Linked DNA regions of Arabidopsis thaliana. The protein of the gene in region 1 interacts with the protein of each later gene in a pairwise test. Each region holds a gene or a part of one and is shown in the gene's direction. Other genes may lie near its edges.

Region 1 (7,211 bases):
GTCACTTAGATAAAAATTAAACCAACTCATGTATTTGCCTAAATAAATCACTATTTACCAAATTTAGCAAACAAATCGTAACTAACCAATCAACATCACACAATCTCAACCCTTTAATAATCTCACATTCTCTCGCTTCTTCTTCTCGGATTCCTAAATATTATCATTCATTCATCATCCTCCCAACTCATTGGCTCTCTTCTCTCCTCTCCTTTGCCTATTTTCTAAAATCTTCTCCGGCCACCCACCGGCCACCTTATGATCTTTTTGGTGGCGGCGATTACACCATCAATTTGTTAGTTTATTTATATATTAATATGGGTTGCGGTGGCTCGAGGCTTGGAGGTGTGGCGACGACAAGGGCGGAAGAAGGCGGGGTTGTGCCACTTCCAGCGGGAATACGTCCCCTTCTCCGGCGAAGGTTAGAGGAGATGAAGAAACGGAGCCATGCAGGCGTCTTGAAAGGGAGCCAGACGTTGTCTAAGAAAGAGCTTCTTAGGCATAACTCTTCCGAGGACGGAGAAGATACGGAGGAGAACGACGGTAGCTTGAAGGCGTCCGCTAAGGTTGCTCCGGCGCCTGATCATAATGTAGAAGAGAAGAAAGAGGTTATTTATGAAAAGATTCCATCCAAAGATGATGTTAAAGAGGTGAAGGAAGAAGTAGTTGTGAACAAACAAGAAGAGGACAATCATCATCAAGATGTTGTGGAGAAACAAGAGGAGGAAAATAAAGAGGTTGTGAAGAAGCAAGAGGAGGAAAATCATGATGATGATGTGGTCGTCATCAATGTTAAGAAGGAAGGAGATGATGGTAAGAATCATGATGTTGATGAAGGGAGTATCAACAACTTTGATGAGAGAATGATTGGTCCTGGATCTCCAAGCTTTAGGGTTTATTGCGTCGATGTTCCTTCTGATGATGATGATGAAGGTAAATCATATGTTCTTATACAAACACACATATATACATGTATAAATCATTTACTATTTGTATTTGTATATGGATGCATGCATTGTTAGAGACATATATATGTTTATATATGAAATGCTTGTTATATTATGTAGTTTCGTTATTGAAACAATTTATCCATTCACTATTGCAGAAAAAGATGTAGAAGACGCGAGAAAGTCGATGGAAACCGAAAGCGTCACGACAGAGATAAAAGAGGTGGTCAATCACATTAATTCACATTATTGATTATTTGATCTATGAGGATCTCTAACAATGATATATTTGTATTTCTATAGGACGGAAGCATTGTCAAAAAGGAGAAAAAAGAAAGAAGAGGAAAGAGGTTCGGAATCGCATTGCCGAGGAAGTATTTAGCAAATGTGACTGCGCCGTGCTATGCAGGTGGAGGATGCATGGGAAACACTCATTCTCGTTTGGTGCAAGAGAAATCGAGCCAGTGATCGATCAAAATATGTTTGCCATCTTTGCATTGACTGATTTGTTGAAGTAAGAATGGTGTGGTGTACGTACGGGATCACGATGAATAATCAAAACCACCTTACGATTTTAGACCTTTGATTTGTTTTAAGAGACGCTTGTTTCAGAATTTGTACAACCTCTTCTTCTTCACCTTTGCTTTCTTTGATCAGGATAATTAAGTTAGTGTTTGACGAATTTACTTTTTTCCACGTGGAAAGATGTAATTAATTGAACTTGTGCAATAAAAAAAGTGTTGTCTAAATGTCAAATTTATTGTTACATTAACCAATGAAAATAAAATTAGAGTAACATATAGGAAACTGCAATTATAGAAGAAAAAACACACTAAAAGGTGTAAGTAATTGAACTTTGTGAATTCCGTTTGTTTTCGGAATGCACAAGTGTTAGTCATAATAGGAAAGATAAAAATCTTAATTACAAATCCTAAAATACAATTTTTAATTTATTTTTTAGAGTTTATATTAATATGTCGTCAAAAACGGTATATTATTCAGAACAAAATTATCGTTGACCATTAGTTAATTAATAACCAAGTTCAAATTTGATAATTTGAAAGTTTATTTAGACAAAATTAATTAGTTGAAAGTTTTATCAATGATGGCCTCTTAAATTTTTAACTTTTTTTTGTTGAGTTTTATAAAAAAGAAAAAATGGTTTTCAAACTAAATTTGTTTATGATCATGTTTATCCGAGTTAAGCCCAATTTGAGATCTTTGTCAGTAATGACTAAGAGTACCTCCCGCATATAGAATTCATGTAGTTTCTAAAACATATATATATTTTTTTAACTTTTAAATATATATATTTTTTTAATTGTATGAGTTTCTACTAAAAAATTACTATTGAAGTTGGTCTAAGTTGCGAGACCAAATTTTTATATGCTTTCGGTTCGAATTGACATTTCTCTGTGTAAACGAAGCATCAATAAGAATTTATCAAACTTGAATGTAACACCATTTCTTTAGTTGATCATTTCCAAACATTTATTAATCAAATAAAATTGAATTTCAAAGTCACGTGATAATGATGATACTCAAATTTAAAAAACCAATAACACTTTATTTCAACATTTCTATGAAGAAATCAATTATTAACACTTAAAGTTATTAATTGAATAACAACGAACAACATTTAATTTAGTCAAAATTAGATTTTTTTTTTCTTTTTTTTGGTTTTATTGTTAAGATTTTATACCAAATAAAATTTTACAAACGAATCTAAAAGAAAGAACAAATTTAAACTTACCTATCAGAATTGTTGTAAGATATTTGGGTTTTCTTCGTATTAGGTTTCATCAGATCCAGACTCAAAAAATGGAGTCACCGCACTCGAATTTGCTCCCTGAAGTCGATTCTTTACCCGATGGATTCGTCGACGGCGCAACAGAGCCGCCTCTCAATTCTCCCAAGACCCAGGAAGAAACAACAAACCATGAAACTGTTGCGATCGAGAAAACAGAGAAGCCAAGAACTTTTCCGGTTCCGTTGTGTGAAACTGATGGTAATGAAGATGACGAAGTAGCTGACCTAATTCAAGAATCAATCAAGCTTGAGTTAGAGTTCGAGCAGAAAGAAAAAGAAGCTTCTCCTCCTATTTCTCAAACATGTGAGTGAAAATGTGAAGCTTAATTTCTTTATAGGAATTTGCTTCTTTTGTAACCTAAAGTTTGTTTCTTTGCTTTTTGTTTGAGTTAGTGTCAGAAGGGTCAACTCAAAATTCAACCTTGTCTAAGGAAATGGATTCACTCAAACCCAAAAAACAAGTCAGTATTTTGATGAGTTCTTCAATCTTGTTGCTTTGAGAAGAATATATGTTGAAGATGATGTATCTGATTTGTGTGCTGATGATATTGAAAGCAGGAGGTGGTTGAGAGCAAGCGTAAGGGTTCAAAGAATATGTTCAAATCAGAGAAAGAGTTTTTGGAATTTATGCTCAAGTATCAGCAAGTCCTTTCTGAAAGAGATTCTGGTAATAGGATATCAATAAAACCAAACTAGTTTTGTGTTACCTTCATCGTTTAATGCTTTATAGTCTGTACTCATCATTATTGTTTTTAACCGTAGCTATTACTGTTCGTGACAAGCTTGAATCACTTTGTAGAGAGTTACAACGTCAGAACAAAATGTTAATGGTTTGTTCTTTCTTTCTTCTTGCTTACTCTACTTGGTGTGTCTTGTTTTGAGGAACTAACCTTTTGGTGTGTAAACTAAATGTTCCTTTGTATAACAGGAAGAATGCAAGAGGGTTTCAACTGAGGGACAGACTTTAAGATCGGATTTATCGACAAAGTTCCAGGATGCTATAATGGTAAGTTGAACACATTTTTCTTTCGATGTGAATTCTTCCCAGGGTTTTGATCTTTGCTGAATATAGAAATTTGAGCCATTTTGCCGTCGGTATTGGCAGTTTTAGAGAGGAACAAGTATTGGATAATAGCTTTGTTTTGTGTTTCTAAGTATGCAAATCTTAAATGCACATCATTTATTGATCCTTGTTATATTTTCTTAGGATATTATCTCCTTTAATCTTCCGTGCTATATGCTTTGGACAGTCATGGCAATATCTTTTTCTTCTTTCTGAAACTCTCTACACTGACATTGGCAAATGTTAGTACCGATCTACACTAAAATTTAGTCCTTGGAAATAATTGGAACTAAACAAAGTAGAAAATTGTCCATATTGGTTTCAAGTTACAGATTGATAGAACTAAGTTTGATGAATTGCTTGCAGGCTTTTGCAACATCAAAAACTTACAAAAACAAAATCAGAATTTATTTGATTGATTTTTTTCTTATGCTCTCTACCTTCCTAATCCTCTTTTGTTTATAGGATGTGAGCATTAAGTTGGACGAGCAAAAGAATGAAAGCCTCACGCAACTCAAAGAAAATGAGATGTAAGCGGAAAGAACTCAATCATAACATGTTCATTTGGAGTAGGAAAATTATAGTATGTTTATTATATATGTATAGTTTTGTTGCAGTTTAAGTTAATACAGTATGAATATGCTCGCCCACATTCTGGAAACTATATTCTTACATGTGTATTGCTTTTAAAACGGCTTTGCTTGTATCAGCTCAGTAACATATTATAAAGGTCCATTCTAATTACAATGGGTTTGTTTCTTAATCTCCAGGTTAAGGACGAAGTTGAAGCACCTGGCTGATCAATTTATGCTTTCAGAACAACAACATGAGCAAAGGGTAATTAAATTATTCGTTTTTTCCAACTATATATGAAGCATGATTTAGCCAAAATAATTGGCTTAACTGCGATGTCTACTTGACAACATCTCATTTTCGAATGGACAGTTGAAGCAGAAAACACTTGAGCTACAGATCTCTGCTTTAAAAATTAAACAGCACGAGGAGAAACTCATCCATGAACAATCTCAGATGAAAGTTTACGCAGATCAAGTTTCTCAGCTTTTGTCTACTGAGAAAAATTTGCGGTTGCAGCTGACTTCTGATGGAGATAAATTCCAGCAGTTCCAGGTCTGCTCTCTTCCCCTTTTACACTTCCTAAATAAGTCTTAATCGTTTTCTCGATGCACTGTGATCACAGATAATAAGATTGCTTGCTTTGGGTGTGATACAATACTCTCTTAAGATATGTTTTTTACTGATATTATATGAAAAGACTGTAAAGTGAAAGGCTGTTTGGTTATGCAGGACGCGTTGGTTAAGAGCAATGAGGTGTTTGAAACATTCAAACAAGAAATCGATAAGGTAATAACAGTTTTATACCTTCGAGGTTCTTTGAAAGATCATAAGTGCTATTTATGTGATCTTATTAACTTGATCCTGTCTCTATTGGTTTTTTGAGTAGATGTCAAAAGCAATCAAAGAACTCAGAAAAGAAAACGCATTCTTGAAAAACAAAACTGAGAAGTCGGATATCACTCTCATAGAACTCGTCGAAGAGGTAAAACAAAACCGTCTGTTCTCTCACTATCTTTAAGGGTTTGTAGATTTTGGTTATGAAACCAGTAAAATCACACTTTTGGTTGACCTTGAACAGCGTGAAAGATTGAAGAAACTGTTGGAGAAGACAAAGAAACAGAAAGACAAGCTTGAATCACTTTGCAGATCCCTTCAAGCTGAAAGAAAACAGAAAGAAACTAACAGTACTGATTCTGCTGTTCAACCATGAAACAGAGAGAGACTATGAATTCAGTGTTTTGCTCTCTTTTTTTCTTTGTCAGAGTTTTGAACTAATTAGCACTTCAGATTACAAAACTACAATTAGACTCCAAATTCACTTTAAAATGTAGAAACATATCACATCATATTGATTCTGCTCTTTTGCGAGCTAAGTCCATTTTATCTCACAAAATGCAAATTGATAATAGTTAATTCAGCTGCAGCTTCTGCAAATCTCCAGGTTCACAAGAGAATGATTCTGCATTCACTAAGTTCACAACCGATTTGGAGAAGAATAGCTACTTCAACATCTGCCATAATGACCAGCTGATTCTTTGCAATCTTAAACCAAACCGAACCGAACCATTTGAACCGAAGAAAAGTTAAACCGATATGGATTATGATTCGGTTTGCATCTTTATGGATTCGGTTAGTTAAAAAAAGCGAATCTCTCTGAATTAAAATAAGTATAACGTCAAATTAAATTTGGTCACATCCACTTTCCTTTACAAACTTCAACAACATCAAATGGAATAATATAATATTGGAAAAGAAAAAGTATATAACGAAATGTCAACCATCGATCATGACCAGCAGATATTAATCGGACGGCTCCTGTACAATTCGATGAAGAAGACCTACTCTCTCATTTATTCAGCTAATTGAAATCATTTCGTTGTGTTTTAGAACAACAACAAAAAAACAGTGCCCTTTCGCTCACGCTTTGAGTCGTATCTGCTCTCTTCTTAATCCGCCGTCTCTCACTTTTTCGCCGGCGTGGTTAGATCGTACAAAGCTCAGGTAATCAAATCTATCTCCGATGTTGATCTACTCTGTTTCTCCGGATTTATGATTTCTCTATTCAATTTCCGATGATTGTTAGATCTACGGGGCTTTTGATCCTGCGATTACTGTTGCTTTTTGTTTGTTAATCAGAGAGAATGTTGGGAATCTTGAGGCAAAGAGCCATCGATGGAGCTTCGGTATGAGACTTTTTTACTCCTTTTATTTGTTTCAGTGCGATTACGATTTTGAGATTTTTACTTGGGAGATTTTTAGGTTCGGATTTTGTTTTCTGATTTTCGAAATTTGGTTTTTGATCAGACTCTTAGGAGGACGCGATTCGCATTGGTTTCTGCTAGGAGCTATGCAGCTGGTGCAAAAGAGGTAAAATGTCTTTTATTGAATTTTCGGATGGTTTAGAAGCGTTATTATACAGGTTTGGTTTTAATGAGCTATTGGAAGATAATTGTGGTCAATTTAGGATGATTAGAGCTGTTAATGTCTGCCAAACCACTTTTCTACTCTAAACTTTTTCTTTGGATGATAGCTTAATGTTGTCTTCTGCAAACTATGTCGATTACTTTTTTTTTTGTGTTCACCGAAATGTCGAGTTTAGCTATATTGGATGTTTTTTGATTTTGTAAACTGTGAGCATCCAAGAAGCGCAAGGGTCGATAATCATTGCATAGATGTTTAAGCCTATTAGCTTTCTCTCATTAGTTCTGACATTGAAAATGGTGGATTGATAGCTGACTCACATAAATAGTGTAGTGACATTTAGAATCCCAACAAGTGTAGCTTAAGTTAGATTTTAATTTACGTTTCGAGAACCC
Region 2 (5,310 bases), on another chromosome or scaffold:
TACTTCTTATGATATTGAATTAATCGGAATTTTGATAAAATGGATCTACTTTTCCAATATAGATAGTGAGAGTCATTTTGAATAGATTTCTAAAAGTTAAGGATGCGTAGTGATGTTTAGACTTTAGTATTTAAATACTTTGAGTCAAGTATGGACATGAATTCAAACCATTTATGATTACGTGCGGGATGGGAGTATGTATTATTCTATTCTTTTGTTTAGTTTTTCGTAATAGTTTACTAGAATTGCTTTAATTATGTGTTTACATATATCAACGTTGTGGCCTCCTCATGTTACTACACGACCCACTCTCCCAAAAGTTTCTTACTACTAAAAAAATATTTTCACCATAAGATTTCAAGTATAGTGTATATACGGTTTTTAATGCACATGTCTGATATTTTTTTTGGGTTCTAACTTCTAATGTCTGTTTTTTTTTTTACATACACATTTTCTCATAAACACACTTAATATCTCATTTTTACGATTTATTATATACTAATACAACCAAATTAAGCTGGTATAACTCTGGCATGGTTATATATATATTCGATAAATTCCGGAGCTTTGTGTATCAATTCTTATAAATGCATATATATTCATACTGAGCTGTGAATCATATGGTTGGTATAAAATTTAACTAAAGATAATAACAATTATTGTCACATAAAGTAAAGCAATATTTAAGTAGAAGATCATATTTAAAATATGTCTTCTACATATATATAGACATATAGTATAACAAAACACTTATCATCTGTATAAACTAAGCAATTGCGTCAAATAGAAACTTTAAAATATAATTAGTGGCAACCTAAATCTTTATAATATCTAAGATCAAACATGTAGTATAGTAATTTGTGTTAGTATCGTCGATGCACCGTCACTCGAATTTAAACTCGCATCATACATGATACATACTGTTGAAGTGTATAATCGTTCATACTAAGAAACTTTCTAAATTGTCATTGAAATTGAAATTTTCACGGTATGATAGATTATATATTGAGTGACACAAACGGATTTACAAAATATTTGAACACTATTCAGAACCAACAATGTCATATATACGCATTAATCACTAATTAGTCAAATGCTTACTTATGTTAGACAAGGCAATTGTAATATCATCAGGGTATAGATTATTATAATTATTAATTTAAGTGTGTAATTAAGAAAAAATAAGAGGAAGACGACAGATAAGAAAATGGGTGTCATTATGTGAGAATTTCAAAATTTTCAGTGCGATTTGTTTTAATAGTCCGTCGTTGGCAGCTTCCATTCTCTTTCTATTCTTCTATTCTTCCATTTTGTTTTTGTAAATCTCAAAATTCTAAAGATTCCTCCTATTTTTAAAAGCAAACAATTATTTTTATATTAGTAGCATGACAAGTGATTAAGATACGCATATCCTAGTGAGTAGTATACAATTTTCTCTATATTATATTTATATTGTGTATATTTCAGAGTGTTAGTTGAGTTGATTTTATGAATTAAATTATGTGAACTCCTGAACCAGAAAGCAGCCAACTATATCTCGCTGTAGTGCAGAAACATATATTCAGCATTGACAGACACAATTTGTGAAGTTAGATAGCTTTTATCACTTGCTCACTGATACAATGTTTTGTGAAAACACATCAGCTAGTCAGTAGTCAGATTGCATCAAATTTTGGGTTCCATGAGAGGACAAAATAAATTGAAATAGACTTTCATTTTGGTTAGTAACAAAGTTAGTAATTAGTTACAGTAAACTAGCTTATATATATACAATTTCGATAGTTAGAAATAGTTTTTTTTTTTTTTTTTGTGTGCAATTTTTCTCTAATTCATCTTCGAATCTTTTATTATTTTGGTGTTTTACTTTTAAAGTTACAAACAAGCTACCATTGACCACTGATTGATTCAAAGACGACAATGAATCGTGATTCTTACAAAATTCTATGGTGTAGAAAATTAGAAATACATATAGTTTTGTTTTAGCTCACTAGCTTTAATTAATTATGACAAGAAGAAAACTTATAATTTGTATGATAAACAAGATATACAAATTAAGTAGAAATGCGTATTCTAAGAAAAAGGTTGAAATGAAATCATTATTTTGTATTGAATATTTTTTGTAAGATAGCGTAAAATTTACGTTGATTTCGAAATATTTTTGTCATCGACTAAGAGATCCAGATATCTTAATTGACTTGAATAGACATTACATGTGAAATTCTATTGTTGAGATAAAAACAAATAGAGTTACGAAGTTGACGTATTTTTAAAAAATGTTATTCGTGTTCTTTTGTGATCCATTTATGATAAAAAAAAGACAAGAATCACAAGACTGTACCAAAATAAAAACAATAAAATCCGGCTGTCAATTTTTATCTTACATTTATTTCCGTCTTGTTTTTCTGCATTACCTTACATAAAATCAAAAAACAAATTTTCCATTCTTATAATTTTTTTGAAAAAACTTAAAATCAATAAGACAAAAGTGATATGAAGGAATGGGGTCATATCGTAGAATCATCTTACATAAATCAAAAAAATAAATTTATGTTGTAAAAAATTACTATGTTATATTAAACTAAAGGGTAATACCGTAATTTACACTCCCAAGTTTCGACGTACACTTTTAATATTCATCATCATCATCGCGCCATGTTGCTTTCTTCTTCTGCTTCTGTTTCTTTTCCAAGTTTTTAAAGAGAGAGAGAGAGACTGAAAGAAAAACAAAAAACAGAGAGCTTTGGTTCCGGATCTTGATTATGGCAAATGGGTGGGTCAAATCGTTACAATGCAAGTCGAAAGCTTTCGATGATGTTTACAATCCGATTAAAAACCCGAACCCGAATCCGAGCCCGAGTCCGAAACATCTCATGTCAAGCTACAGTTGCAGAAAAAGCACACAGAGTCTAAAAGATGTGATCGAAACCAAAAAACCCAAACCTAAACCGAAGAAACCCAATCCAAAACCGGATAAACGAGAAACCGACCCGGTTTTATCACCATCAACCCGGATCCGATCAACCGGAGTTCGTGATCGTGATCCGTTTTTACCGACATTGACGGAGCTATCGGAAGGTCATCAGTCACGTAATGTGGTGGAGATTATCTTTCAGACGAGCTGGGGTCCGAAACCGTTTTCGGGTCGGGTCGAAATGATTTTCAAAGTGCAAAACGGGTCTAAGACTTTGACCCGGTTCGAAGAGTATCGTGAAGCCGTGAAAGCTAGGAGCGTGGGGAAAGCGCGTGAAGAGAACGCGCGTTCGGTTGCCGACGGGAATGAAACAATGAGGTTTTACTGTTTGGGTCCAAGTTACGGTGGAGGTGGCAGCGCGTGGGGTATTTTGGGAGGAAAAGGCGGTGGCGCGTCGATATATACGTTTGCCGGAAGTAGCACGGCGAATGAGAAAGCTGGCGGTGGGAAAGGGAGGAAGGCAATGTTGGTTTGTCGGGTCATAGCGGGTCGGGTCACTAAGCAAAACGAGTTAAAGTATGACTCGGATTTGAGGTCACGGTTTGACTCAGTGAGTGGTGACGACGGAGAGTTGCTCGTGTTCGATACACGTGCGGTGTTGCCTTGTTTTCTCATAATCTATCGGTTGTAAAAATTCAAAAAAATAAAAGTTATTTTAGTTTCTAACTTTTTGACATTGTAATTTCATTTATCAACGCAATTTTCCCCTAATGTTTAGGGATTTGTTTTTATTTCCAATGTAAAATTGGTAGAAAATTGTGTTGATAAATGGTAATTAATTTTGTTGACGACAAGAAAAAATGGCAATTAGTAGATTTTCTTTCTTTCTTTCTTTCCCAACTAGTAGTAAAATATTTTCTTATTAAATGATGTCGTAAATAGTGAATATTTTGGTGCGTTGGCTTTTACAATGCCATTAATAGATTTTATTACACAGTCAATTGTTATTAATTTTTACAGTTGGGTTTTGATTCTACATTCAATTTTCTTCCATCTATAGTAAAATATTTTATCCACTAAAATATCTTTTACGTTACTTACACGACTACTTCCTTAAAGCGAAAAGCTATAGTTGGAAAATTTCAAATTTTGTAACGTTTCTTTAATATAAAATAAATAATTTCAAAATTTTAACTGAGAGATGAGAGTAGTTCAAAAGAAGGAATAATCAGTGAAAAGTGATTCCCACTAAAGAGCATTTGTAAAAGATTTAAAGTCAAAAAAAGAAGAAGAGAAAAAGAGTAAAAATTGAAAATGAGAAATCATGAAAGTTACATTGGATCCGCAGGGAGAAGAATATTTAGAATGCACAAGTGATGAAAAATTGAAGAAATAACAGAAGCGTAAAATTTAGGCCTGTTGATGTAAAAAAAAAAACAATTAGGCCTGTTGGGCCCATTAGGCCCATAAAATAATTTACGGAATCAGTCCTAGCGAATCTTTCAAGAATTTAAAAGAACCAACTAATCTTTGAAGATCATAGACTCGAACAAAGTTCCAACTTCCTCCTCTAACTTTCAATATAGTGAATGATTTTGAAAACTGCTATATGTTAAAGCTAAACCAATGGAGCTAGAGCAAATGTCTATAAGACCTCAAGCACCGTGAATTTCATCATCTCCTTCTTTTACCTACATACGTTTGAGTCAAACCTTTGGTGTTTCTCAGGTTTGGTTTGCATTTTCCATCTTTAGTCTTCCCCTGCATTTTCTTGTAATCTCTCGATCTAAAAACCGTCTCTAAGAGGTTAATATCTTCTCGAATCTCATGTCTAGAGAGCGATACAAGCTCCGGGAGTATCTCCTTTTGGAAATTCTTCATTCTCCTCCCTCTTCTCAGCTTGACTCCAAACTCTTTCTTCTTACTGAAGTCATATATGGCCTTTGATGATACACAACAGAGCTCTTCAGGGACAGTTTCTCTTATTTCTAAAGTATGTAGCTCAAATGAATCGCAAGAACGACCCGGTTCTTGGACACCGTGACTTTGATTATGAGAAACAGCTGAGATGTGGACTAAACATTCAGCTGCCATTTGAATTACTTCACACGAATCTTCTCCTTCAGTCCTTGAATTGTTTTCTGCGGTGCAACATGAAGCTGGAGATGCTGAACAATCTTTTTCATGTACACCATCTAAACCGCATTGATGATCAATTGAAACCGGCTCGTAAGCCGGGGGTTTATTAAGATCCAGCAAACATGATCCATCTGAAATATTCACTTTCTCACTTTTCTTGCCACACAAATTTGTGCCATATGCTTCAATCCTCAAATCTATGCTATCTTGGGAAGAACCAATGCTGTGGAATTCTCGGTATTCGACGCTTTCATGATTTT
Region 3 (3,992 bases), on another chromosome or scaffold:
TATAAGAACTATCAGACTAATGACTAAGTGATATCAGGAAAGGAATTGTTTGAAGAAAGAAAGTAAACAGGGTTGACACCAGCTTGCATTCATAGTAGTCATAGATACATACCGGAATGGAGTGTGTTGTCGTGAATCCAGGACAGAGAACAATTCCATCTTTTTTACAAATTCCATGTAGTTGATTGTATTTGTAGCTGAAAGCAGCATCGACTCCAAATGCTGTGACGACATGAGAGTTAATGAATTAATGAAAACAATAAACAAAAGGTTCCATAATTACAGTATCAAACATTCAGTTCAAGAAGACGATCAAATTCAGAAACCAAAAAAATAACGCAGATTCATACCAACTGCAGGCACTCCATAAGTCTCAAATAGCAGTTCTGCCATTTTGCTACGAGATTGAACTGGGTTGCATGCACATTCAGTGATTAGGATTGGATGATCAATCTGTACTGCCATCAAATGACGTTAAATGACGAGACAAAATTCTGACAGGTAGTAAGATGAAACTCAAAATCAAGATGAAAACAAAAAAGTTCTAGGACGTACCCCTGATCCATTAGCACCCAAACGATCAAAGGCGTAGTCAAGAATCTAAAAAGCAGAAAAATCAATTAGACAAGTGGGTTCTTCAGTGATTGCATTATTTAATTAGCATAAACATCAAAGAACTTGGAATACAAAGAAATGATGAGAGCAAGAAATTCCTGGAACAGAAGACCTTACAAATATACAATACAATTCGTTATTGAATAAACGGGTATAGAATCCATACATATTCCATGATCTCAAACTGATAAACCACATTGCTGTCAAAAGGGGAACGTGGTCCAGAGCGAGTGCAATCAAAGTACTTCATCATGGAAGGATCCAGGTCGCCAACAATAGTAACAGTTTCACCTGTACTAGAGAGAAGAACTAACCATTACAACAACATTACAAACACACCTAGAAGATAATTTAGAAGCAGAGCAACTTTTAAGCAAAATAGGATAAAGCATAGTTATATATATCTAGAAATCGTAGCCAAAACTTCAAGCAACTCTGCTCTAGTACTTTGAAACATATCATTGGCTAAATTTGTTACTCTAGCAGCGAAACAAGCAATTAAGACACATACATAGAAGCGGGAAAATAGAGAAAAAAATAAAGACCTGTAGCTTTGTGGCGTGGTCTTTGCACGATATTGCGGAAAACAACACGAGGCTCAGTTTCTCCTGCCCACCTAAAAAAACGCAAGAGAATTTCAAAATTTAACACGATTTTTACGAATTGGGGAAGAGAATTACTAAATACCAAAAACCTCAAGTAAAAGTGAGTTAGCGATAAGAAGGAAATTAGGGTTTATGGAATAAAAGTACCCGATACGGAAGTAGGAAGCGCCATTATCGATAACAATGGGAATCGAAGATGGATATGTATTGTAATCACTCTGCCTACGTATCCTCGAAACGAACGCCATGGCTTTCTCTTCCTACTGCGGTGTTGATTTAGTCGCCGTCGTCAGTCATCGACTGATTTTGTAATAAGTAAATTCGGCCACCTAGTTCTCCGGTGAAAGAAAGAAGAAGACACAAATGGAGCTCCGTGACGTGGAAAAACATTATTAGGCCCAAAACCCTCTGACTTAAAAAAGACTTGATAATTGAATAAATAGTTTAATGTCGTTGACATAAACGTAAGCCGTCTTAGCTCAGTGGTAGAGCGCGTGGCTTTTAACCACGTGGCCGTGGGTTCGATCCCCACAGACGGCGTTTTCGTATTCCGACATAGGTTGTCTTTTTTGCTGCTTTTCTTTAACTGAAATATTCCGACCAATTTTTTCCAGCTGATAAGCCCAACGGACAATGTGTAATATTGCGATTTTATATAAAAGTTTTGGGCCTTTTGATTTTCCTTGCAATAATTAACACTCGGTCTTCTCCAACCTAACAATTATTCTAGGGTTTTAGAGTTTCCGCACGAATCACGAATCTCTCTCTCTTTCACACACTTCACACTTTCAATATACACTCTCATTATGACTACCGAAGAGAAAGAGATCCTCGCCGCCAAATTGGAAGAACAGAAGATCGATGTAATTGATTACTCTTTTATTCTTTACCTATCTATCATCTCTGTTTATTTGTTGTTATTTGTCTTTTAGTCTGGAAATCATTAGACTGAATTCAGAGTTTTTTAATCTGTTCCTGCCCAGATCTTTGCTTTTGTTTTGTTTTGTATATGCAAATATTGGACCTTATTATAAGACTTTAGATCTGAATTTACATGTAATTAACCTTTGTGGATTCTCTCATTTTCCCAATTAGTTCAATTATTGATGATTTGTTGTAGCTCGATAAGCCCGAAGTTGAGGACGATGATGATAACGAAGACGATGACTCTGATGACGATGATAAGGATGATGACGAGGCTGATGGTAAAAGCTTTCTACATTTCATTCATCAAATTACTGGAATAATTAGTATAGTTCCTAGTATTTCTGTTAGCTTACATCTGGGGCAGATTTGTTGATGCTCACGTGTATGTGTAGATATGTAGCAATGATAATTATATGGCCATAGCTTGAAAATTTAGTGAAAATGAATCCATCTTCTTTGTTTTCAAATAATCTTTGCGTTGACTTGTGTTGATAGACATGTTTGTGGAACTTAATGTTATCATCTATTTTATTCTTGTTGATTGGTGATTGGAAAACAGGACTAGATGGAGAGGCAGGAGGTAAGTCAAAACAAAGCAGAAGTGAGAAGAAGAGTCGCAAAGCCATGCTCAAGCTTGGCATGAAACCCATCACTGGTGTTAGCCGAGTCACCGTCAAAAAGAGCAAGAATGTTTGTGTTTTCTCTTTAATATTCAGTCAATCTTAATTTCTTTTATTCACACATCAGGCTTTAATATTGATCTGTTTTGGGGACATTTGCTTTGGAACACAGATCTTGTTTGTCATATCAAAGCCTGATGTGTTCAAGAGTCCAGCATCAGACACATATGTGATCTTTGGAGAGGCGAAGATCGAGGATTTGAGCTCTCAGATCCAGTCGCAAGCAGCAGAGCAATTCAAGGCACCAGATCTCAGCAATGTGATCTCAAAGGGTGAGTCATCGAGCGCTGCAGTGGTTCAGGATGATGAGGAGGTTGACGAGGAAGGTGTTGAGCCAAAGGACATTGAGTTGGTGATGACTCAAGCAGGAGTGTCTAGGCCAAATGCTGTGAAGGCTCTCAAGGCTGCAGATGGAGATATTGTCTCTGCCATCATGGAGCTTACCACCTAAACCAAAGTCTTTTCTACTTAGATGTGGTTTAACCTGAGTTATGTGCCAGAGATTGTCCAAAGAATTCGGAAATTTTTGGTTTCAATGTTTTTCATGAAGTGATTTTCGATGTTGTATCAGTATAAACCTCATAAGTTTTTGATTTTCAGTTTGATTTTATATTGAATATCAAGTCCAAGTGTTTACCATTATAGACTTGTAGTTATAATTTGTCAAGTATCAGTCTGTTTAATGAACCGAACCCAAAGGATATGGACACCCCTTCACTCCAACCAATACGAGGTATCAACTGAGGTTAATCGATACATGCAGTACAATGTACAAAGTGCTACAAGTGGAGGTTCATAGACTAGAAAAGTATTCAACAGGACCTGATTCTAAGAGAAATTGTTATAAAGCCGATGTTTATTACCTAACTCCTCAAGGAAGGAGGCTAGGGAGTTGCAAGGAAGGAGCTGGTTTTATCCAAGACTACGAAAGATTCAAAGGCACACTGATGAAGCAAAACAAGGCGTAAGGATGTTGCAGTTGCTGATAAGAAGACTTGACAAGGTTTCATCATTGATGGTGGAGCTAATGGGTTCAATTCGACAAGGTTTTAGTTTCCTTTTGCATGGTGAATAAACTAAAGCAACATTTTTTTAATGGAGAAGAAAGAAGAGTCATCAAAACTGTTCCAATATCCAAAACAAAGATACTAACATTCTCAAACCA
Region 4 (5,727 bases), on another chromosome or scaffold:
TCTTCCGTTTTTTCATCATGGCGGACATTGCACATGAAAAAGAAATGAAACCCTTAGAGTTCTGAGTACCGATAGACAAACACAAGACGACCTTATAAATGAAACCCTTACAGATCCACTAGACAGACACGATTTTGCCACCTTTCGGATTATGTCTACCTACCACATTTTTTTTTTTTATCTTTCTCCCTTTTTCTAACCTTATCTTTTTTTCTTTAATTTCCTTTTTGTAGCATCCTTATTAGATACCATTACATATATAGATAATTTTATCTATAATTTTTCTTCTTTTCCTTCTAAATTCATTGATACCAATCGAGATTACAAAGTTATTATACAAATTATTTATCTATAATTAGGTAGTACTTTTTAATGTATATATACATACATACACTATACTAATTACCCAATCATACCGTTGCTTTCACGCCTTTTTGTATATTTTTAAAATGACTTACTAAAATATTGAGTGTGATTATCTTGAAAAGATATCAAATTTCTATTTAATCAAATTGAATAAATTTTGAGTTCAATTTATTATATGCATAAAAAATATGAAAAGGATATGACTATGAGGGGATCATATAGTTTTATGAAAGTAGATGAAAGAGAATAACATACAGTAAAAGTAGGTTTTAGATTAGAGAAAGAAAAGCAATGGATTAGGTCGATGAACCGCGACCACCACGGCCAAATCGTAGTACATTGATTCTCTTGATATTTTTGCGTAGGCTTGATTGGCCTTCCTCCTTGGGCTTTTAGAGAGGAGTCACCCATCTCAAAACAAGTATCACCAAATCCTGAGTTTAAGGAAGCAAAAATATTGCTTTCAAAAACATTAACTAGATTTTCATTTGCCAATGAACCTCGTTGGGTAGGAATAAATAGGGTGTCCACAGATGAAGGAGTATCAACCATAGAAAGAAGCCTCAGTTGGTGCAGCATTTGAAAAGGCTAGTAAATTTGGCGTTTATTGACGCCAGTAGAGAGAGAGAAGCTAAGTATAGTGGCAGATGGCGTTGCTGGGGGGGCATACTCGTTTGTCCGTGATATAACGTGCTTAACAATTTCATTATGGTCTCTACATTTTTGACGAATGAATGCCTATCACCTAGGGTTTTCTTGTGTTTTAGGAAACATTCTTCCTCAAAATAATTCTCCGCATATCAGATATATATCAACTTAACTGAGAATAGCGATTAGTGCAATAGTTTCAAATTAAAGAATGATGTCCTACAAGTAAACAGCCTATTAATTTCTCAGGGACAAATCTGTCAGTAAACCTCGGAAACAGGCGTTTCGGTATCTAAATACAATCCAAACTTAGTCATATGTAGGGTTTACTGTTTAGGTAAGCGAGCGAAATTAACCGAAAAAGTGTTATAGCCCAACATTGTTGCATTGATTATAGCTCAAAACTCATGATAAAACCTGTCCCAAGTGTTTGCCAAAAAAAGACATGTTCCAAGTAAAATTACTAGGCTTTCCTAAGAATAAAATAAATCTCAAAAAATTGAGTCGACTAAACATCAATTGCCTTCAAAAGATAGGTTAAATCTATTAGTCAACAATCCGGATACAAAATCATCGTCACTCTCTCCCTTCACGTCCTCCTAAAGATGATTCATCACAAGAACAAATTAAACCAAGAAATTAGATATTTATATTGAATATCAACAGTAATTACAATTATGAATTTATGAGTATAGTATATTAATTAGTAAAAGGGTTCAAGGAGAGAAGAATACGATACCTTATTTTTCTCTTCAGCTACTGGGGCAGCTTGAGTGGCACTTCCAGATGAAAGTGCAGAAGAAAAAACGGCCATGGGAGAAGCAGCAGATCCACCGGCACCAGCATTCATGATGAGATCATCCATGTTTTTGTTCTGGCGGAAGACTAGGCCAGTATGATTCAATGTTCAAATTGGCTGTTTTCACCAATGTTGACATCTTTCTCAGCCTAGTTTACAAGTAAACAAAATAGTTTGAGTACATGTTAATTAAAACAAACAACCTACAAGTTAATTAAGGCTCCAGTAGGATTGATGTCAAGATTGAGCCTAGAAAGTACATACGGTGACATGGTCATGGAGGAGGAGAGCTGCGTAAGTGCAAGCTAGCTCACCGGTGGCCATTGTAGGCTAGCTCGCGTCCCACGAAAGATCTACAAAACCATCAATAGAGCTCATCGATTCATAATCTGAACTTCAAGTGAAACATAAAAACAAAACGTGTAGAGTCTCTGAATCGAACCTGTAACCAAACAGAAGATTAGGGGTTAACGTACGAGGTCACTATTTATTTCGATAGAGTTATTAGGGTTTCTAGAGGATTATTAATGTTTCGAAATGGGCACGTGAATATCATGTGCGGCCCAGAGAAAATTTAGGACTGGAATTTCATGGCCTATATAGATAACCAAAATTGTTCTTATTAAGCCTCAGAAGCCCAATAAAAGGCCCAATTGGACAACGACAAAGCAGAACCCGAGTCGTTACCACACACACAGTCGTCACTCACCACCTCACCGTTCCTTATCCATTTGGCTGACGCAAAATCGAATCGGAACCCTAAAATCTCTCCGAAAGCCATGTCTCCTCCTCCTGCTGTAGTCACTGAATCTGCCGATGGACAACCTGAGCAACCACCGGTTACCGCCATTGCTGAAGAGCTGGAGAAAAAGCTTCAGGTTAAGACGATTTTACGTAGATTTGTCACGGTTTTTACTTCTTAGTCTCACGCTCGAGGATTTGTTTTTGCAGACTGATGAACCGATTGTAGAAGATGTTAAAGATGATGAAGACGATGATGATGATGACGAAGAAGAGGAAGACGACGATGCTCAAGGTGCTTTTGATTCCTCCCTCTTTTCTCACCAGTGTAGCTCGGCTTTTAGAGTTTTGTTCGTCATCAATCATTACTTAATTTTCCAGATAGTGTTCTTTAGAAATGTCATTGAATATTAATCATATTAATCATTGGCCTTGTTCGTTCTCACATTTGTAGTTTCGTGTATGCAAAGAGTGTCACATTTCAAGAATTACTGCATAGTTATGTAGAAATGGTTGATTTAGATGTTTCTGTTAACATATAGAGATGTGGGAGATGAATCATTTTGCTGATAGATTGAGGCCAAGATTTATGGATTTACTTGACTAAGTTTCGGAGAATAGAGATCCCAATATGTTTATAGCATAGTGAATTGTTCTTAAAATTGAATGAAGTTTTGTTGTTGTAGGTGTAAGTGGAAGTTCAAAGCAGAGTAGAAGTGAAAAGAAGAGTAGGAAGGCGATGTTGAAGCTCGGTATGAAACCTGTCACTGGTGTTAGTCGAGTAACCATCAAGAGAACGAAAAACGTAAACCTTTCTCTGTTTTCTCAATAAGTTTAGATTTTTTTCTGCGTGTGTGATTCTAATGATACACTACATTAATGTTATCAGGTTCTCTTCTTTATCTCTAAGCCTGATGTCTTTAAGAGCCCGCATTCAGAAACCTATGTTATATTCGGTGAGGCCAAGATCGAGGATTTGAGCTCTCAGCTTCAAACGCAAGCTGCTCAACAGTTTAGGATGCCTGAAATTGGAGCCACATCTCAGAGAGCAGAGGCATCGACAGCCACTGTAGAAGCACAGGTGGAAGAAGATGAAGAGGAAATCGATGAGACCGGTGTGGAGGCTCGTGACATTGACTTGGTCATGACTCAGGCTGGAGTTTCTCGTAGCAAAGCGGTTAAAGCACTCAAGAGTCACGATGGAGACATTGTAAGTGCAATAATGGAACTCACTACTTGAGAGTTAAGAGAGATTGAGTCTCTATGCTTTATTCACTTGCAGATTGTTTTCAAATACTTTTGGATTTATCAGGAAATTGGATTATTGTTGTCCTTACGAGTATCTAATCTAGTTTGTTTGTTATGATGCTTATGCAGTATCTGAGTTGTACTCTGTTTTTCACGACAATGTATTGGAGAAAATACATATCAAAATTCGACTAAACAAAGTTCGAGAAACTTCCAAATTCTAGGATTAGAAACATCACCTACTAACAAATAGACAGATATACTAATATCTAAATGACATTCGAGCAGAGGACAGAAGCACAGACGTTGGAGTCCTATGCATTGATTCTAACTCCTCCATCTTCTGTTTCTCTTCACCACTGAAGGTTGAATTCGGTGAGATTCCCGCTGTTTTTAAATATTTGGAGTTTTCTAGAATGTACCTTATGATTTTTTTCTCATCTTCTCTTCCAACATATCCGTCCCACTCAAAGATCTCGAGATGCGACGACAAACATCTTGGAATAGAACTCGGTTGATTCCATAAAGCTGGGTCATGATTCCATCTCGGAATGTCGGAGTCGACCAGAAAAACTTTAAGCTTAGAACACTTAGAGAGCAAAACCAAAAGTGATTCCAACAAGTCATACTCAGATAGATGTATCATACATTCAACAAGTCGAGAGTAGTTATTAACTGCGTCACACCACGGAACCATTGTATCGAACGGAGATAGCGCAAGATACTTGACCGAAGAGAGAGGCCTCATAAATTTTTCACTAGGGAACAGCTCATCAGTAACTACTGTGACAAGATGGGGCATGTACCAAACTGAGAGAGAGTATCCCACAGTATCAAAGATGTGAAGAGACAATAAATTCGGAGTGTCTGTAACCAAAAACGGATCAGACATATCACTGTCTTCTCGAAACATCATACCTGCTTTGTAGTCTAATCTCAATAAAGAAGGCACTTCAACCCTAAACGTTCTCACATTATCTTCCACACGTCTATTTCGAGTCACCTTTAGATGCTTGAGAACGGGACAACTTGATAGAAGCTTAACATGAGAATCTTCGTCTTTGTACACAACACAGAAGAGATCAAGTTCTCTAAGTGATGGGAGAGAGACTTGACAAGGAACATCCACAAGAATCTTGTCGGAGAGAGTCAATCTCTCAAGCGTTTTGCAAAAGTAAAAGCTCTTAGGCATTCTGATCGGCTCTCCTTTCCAAAGGAGCCTGAAAGTTAGCCAACGCACACGAGTATCAAGCAGTGGCGGACCCACGTTGGAGGCAGGTGGGGCACGTGCCTGATACTAAATTCTATAAATATTTTATAAGCTACTACTAAACAATGTAATACAGGTAACTCAAATGGTTTTCCAGCAAAAAGTGCCTCATACTAACCCGAGTTCAAGTCTCCGCACTGTTATTTTTGTAAAAATAATTTATAATCACAATACAATTTAGGTAATTAAATTATACTTAGTACTATTTATATATATGGTGCCCCACATTAAATTACATTCTAGATCCGCCCCTGGTATCAAGTACTTTTGCAACCCACTTTACAGGATTAACATTAATAGGACATTGTGGACCGAGGTCGATCCACAAACGTTCTAACAAAGGTGCCTTGTGAAAACGGAATGACTCTTCAAGAAACCACCAAACAGTATTGCTTTTTACGTCACTAGTGGTTTCTATGTAATTAAGTCTAGGTAACATCCTCCAGACAAACCGCCATCGTTTGGACAAAAACGTGGTGGCCGCTGCATCTTTCGTAGGAACGCACAATAAAATCTTTACGAGAAGATCGTCAGGCAAAGAACTGATTCTATCTTCACAAACTCTATGTTCGACGAGTTCTGTCATAATTAACAACTAAACCCTAGACGACCTTAGGGTTGAGTCAAAAAATAGGAATCTTTTCCAAATTATTCA

What was found.
Region 2: the proteins of AT5G50840 (region 1) and AT1G62520 interact in a two-hybrid assay, tested with the Arabidopsis thaliana proteins (one large-scale study listed by BioGRID).
Region 3: the proteins of AT5G50840 (region 1) and AT3G12390 interact in a two-hybrid assay, tested with the Arabidopsis thaliana proteins (one large-scale study listed by BioGRID).
Region 4: the proteins of AT5G50840 (region 1) and NACA2 interact in a two-hybrid assay, tested with the Arabidopsis thaliana proteins (one large-scale study listed by BioGRID).

The regions. Positions count from the first base shown.
Region 1 is NC_003076.8:20,683,135-20,690,345, forward strand, and holds AT5G50840 (alpha-taxilin-like protein), read left to right. Parts: upstream 1-2,683; 5' UTR 2,684-2,768; coding exon 2,769-3,060; intron 3,061-3,149; coding exon 3,150-3,217; intron 3,218-3,311; coding exon 3,312-3,423; intron 3,424-3,518; coding exon 3,519-3,586; intron 3,587-3,684; coding exon 3,685-3,762; intron 3,763-4,284; coding exon 4,285-4,349; intron 4,350-4,589; coding exon 4,590-4,656; intron 4,657-4,764; coding exon 4,765-4,947; intron 4,948-5,124; coding exon 5,125-5,181; intron 5,182-5,281; coding exon 5,282-5,377; intron 5,378-5,473; coding exon 5,474-5,605; 3' UTR 5,606-5,788; downstream 5,789-7,211. Other genes in the region: AT5G50830 (nuclear polyadenylated RNA-binding protein), read left to right, coding at 318-933, 1,106-1,173, 1,251-1,415; MAB1 (Transketolase family protein), read left to right, coding at 6,537-6,578, 6,700-6,762.
Region 2 is NC_003070.9:23,141,747-23,147,056, forward strand, and holds AT1G62520 (sulfated surface-like glycoprotein), read left to right. Parts: upstream 1-2,638; 5' UTR 2,639-2,759; coding exon 2,760-3,602; 3' UTR 3,603-3,785; downstream 3,786-5,310. Other genes in the region: AT1G62530 (hypothetical protein (DUF863)), read right to left, coding at 4,586-5,310.
Region 3 is NC_003074.8:3,940,318-3,944,309, forward strand, and holds AT3G12390 (Nascent polypeptide-associated complex (NAC), alpha subunit family protein), read left to right. Parts: upstream 1-1,939; 5' UTR 1,940-2,026; coding exon 2,027-2,083; intron 2,084-2,340; coding exon 2,341-2,425; intron 2,426-2,706; coding exon 2,707-2,837; intron 2,838-2,939; coding exon 2,940-3,278; 3' UTR 3,279-3,492; downstream 3,493-3,992. Other genes in the region: ARP5 (actin-related protein 5), read right to left, coding at 113-222, 351-453, 556-600, 782-924, 1,161-1,231, 1,368-1,468; ELC (Ubiquitin-conjugating enzyme/RWD-like protein), read right to left, coding at 3,761-3,903. UniProt on the Arabidopsis thaliana protein: May promote appropriate targeting of ribosome-nascent polypeptide complexes.
Region 4 is NC_003074.8:18,338,480-18,344,206, forward strand, and holds NACA2 (nascent polypeptide-associated complex subunit alpha-like protein 2), read left to right. Parts: upstream 1-2,496; 5' UTR 2,497-2,592; coding exon 2,593-2,691; intron 2,692-2,764; coding exon 2,765-2,849; intron 2,850-3,240; coding exon 3,241-3,359; intron 3,360-3,443; coding exon 3,444-3,764; coding exon of another isoform or gene 3,765-3,794; exon of another isoform or gene 3,795-4,010; intron 4,011-4,064; coding exon of another isoform or gene 4,065-4,090; coding exon 4,091-4,165; downstream 4,166-5,727. Other genes in the region: AT3G49450 (F-box and associated interaction domains-containing protein), read right to left, coding at 1-28; AT3G49460 (60S acidic ribosomal-like protein), read right to left, coding at 1,915-1,962, 2,078-2,137; AT3G49480 (F-box/FBD/LRR protein), read right to left, coding at 4,065-5,093, 5,338-5,658.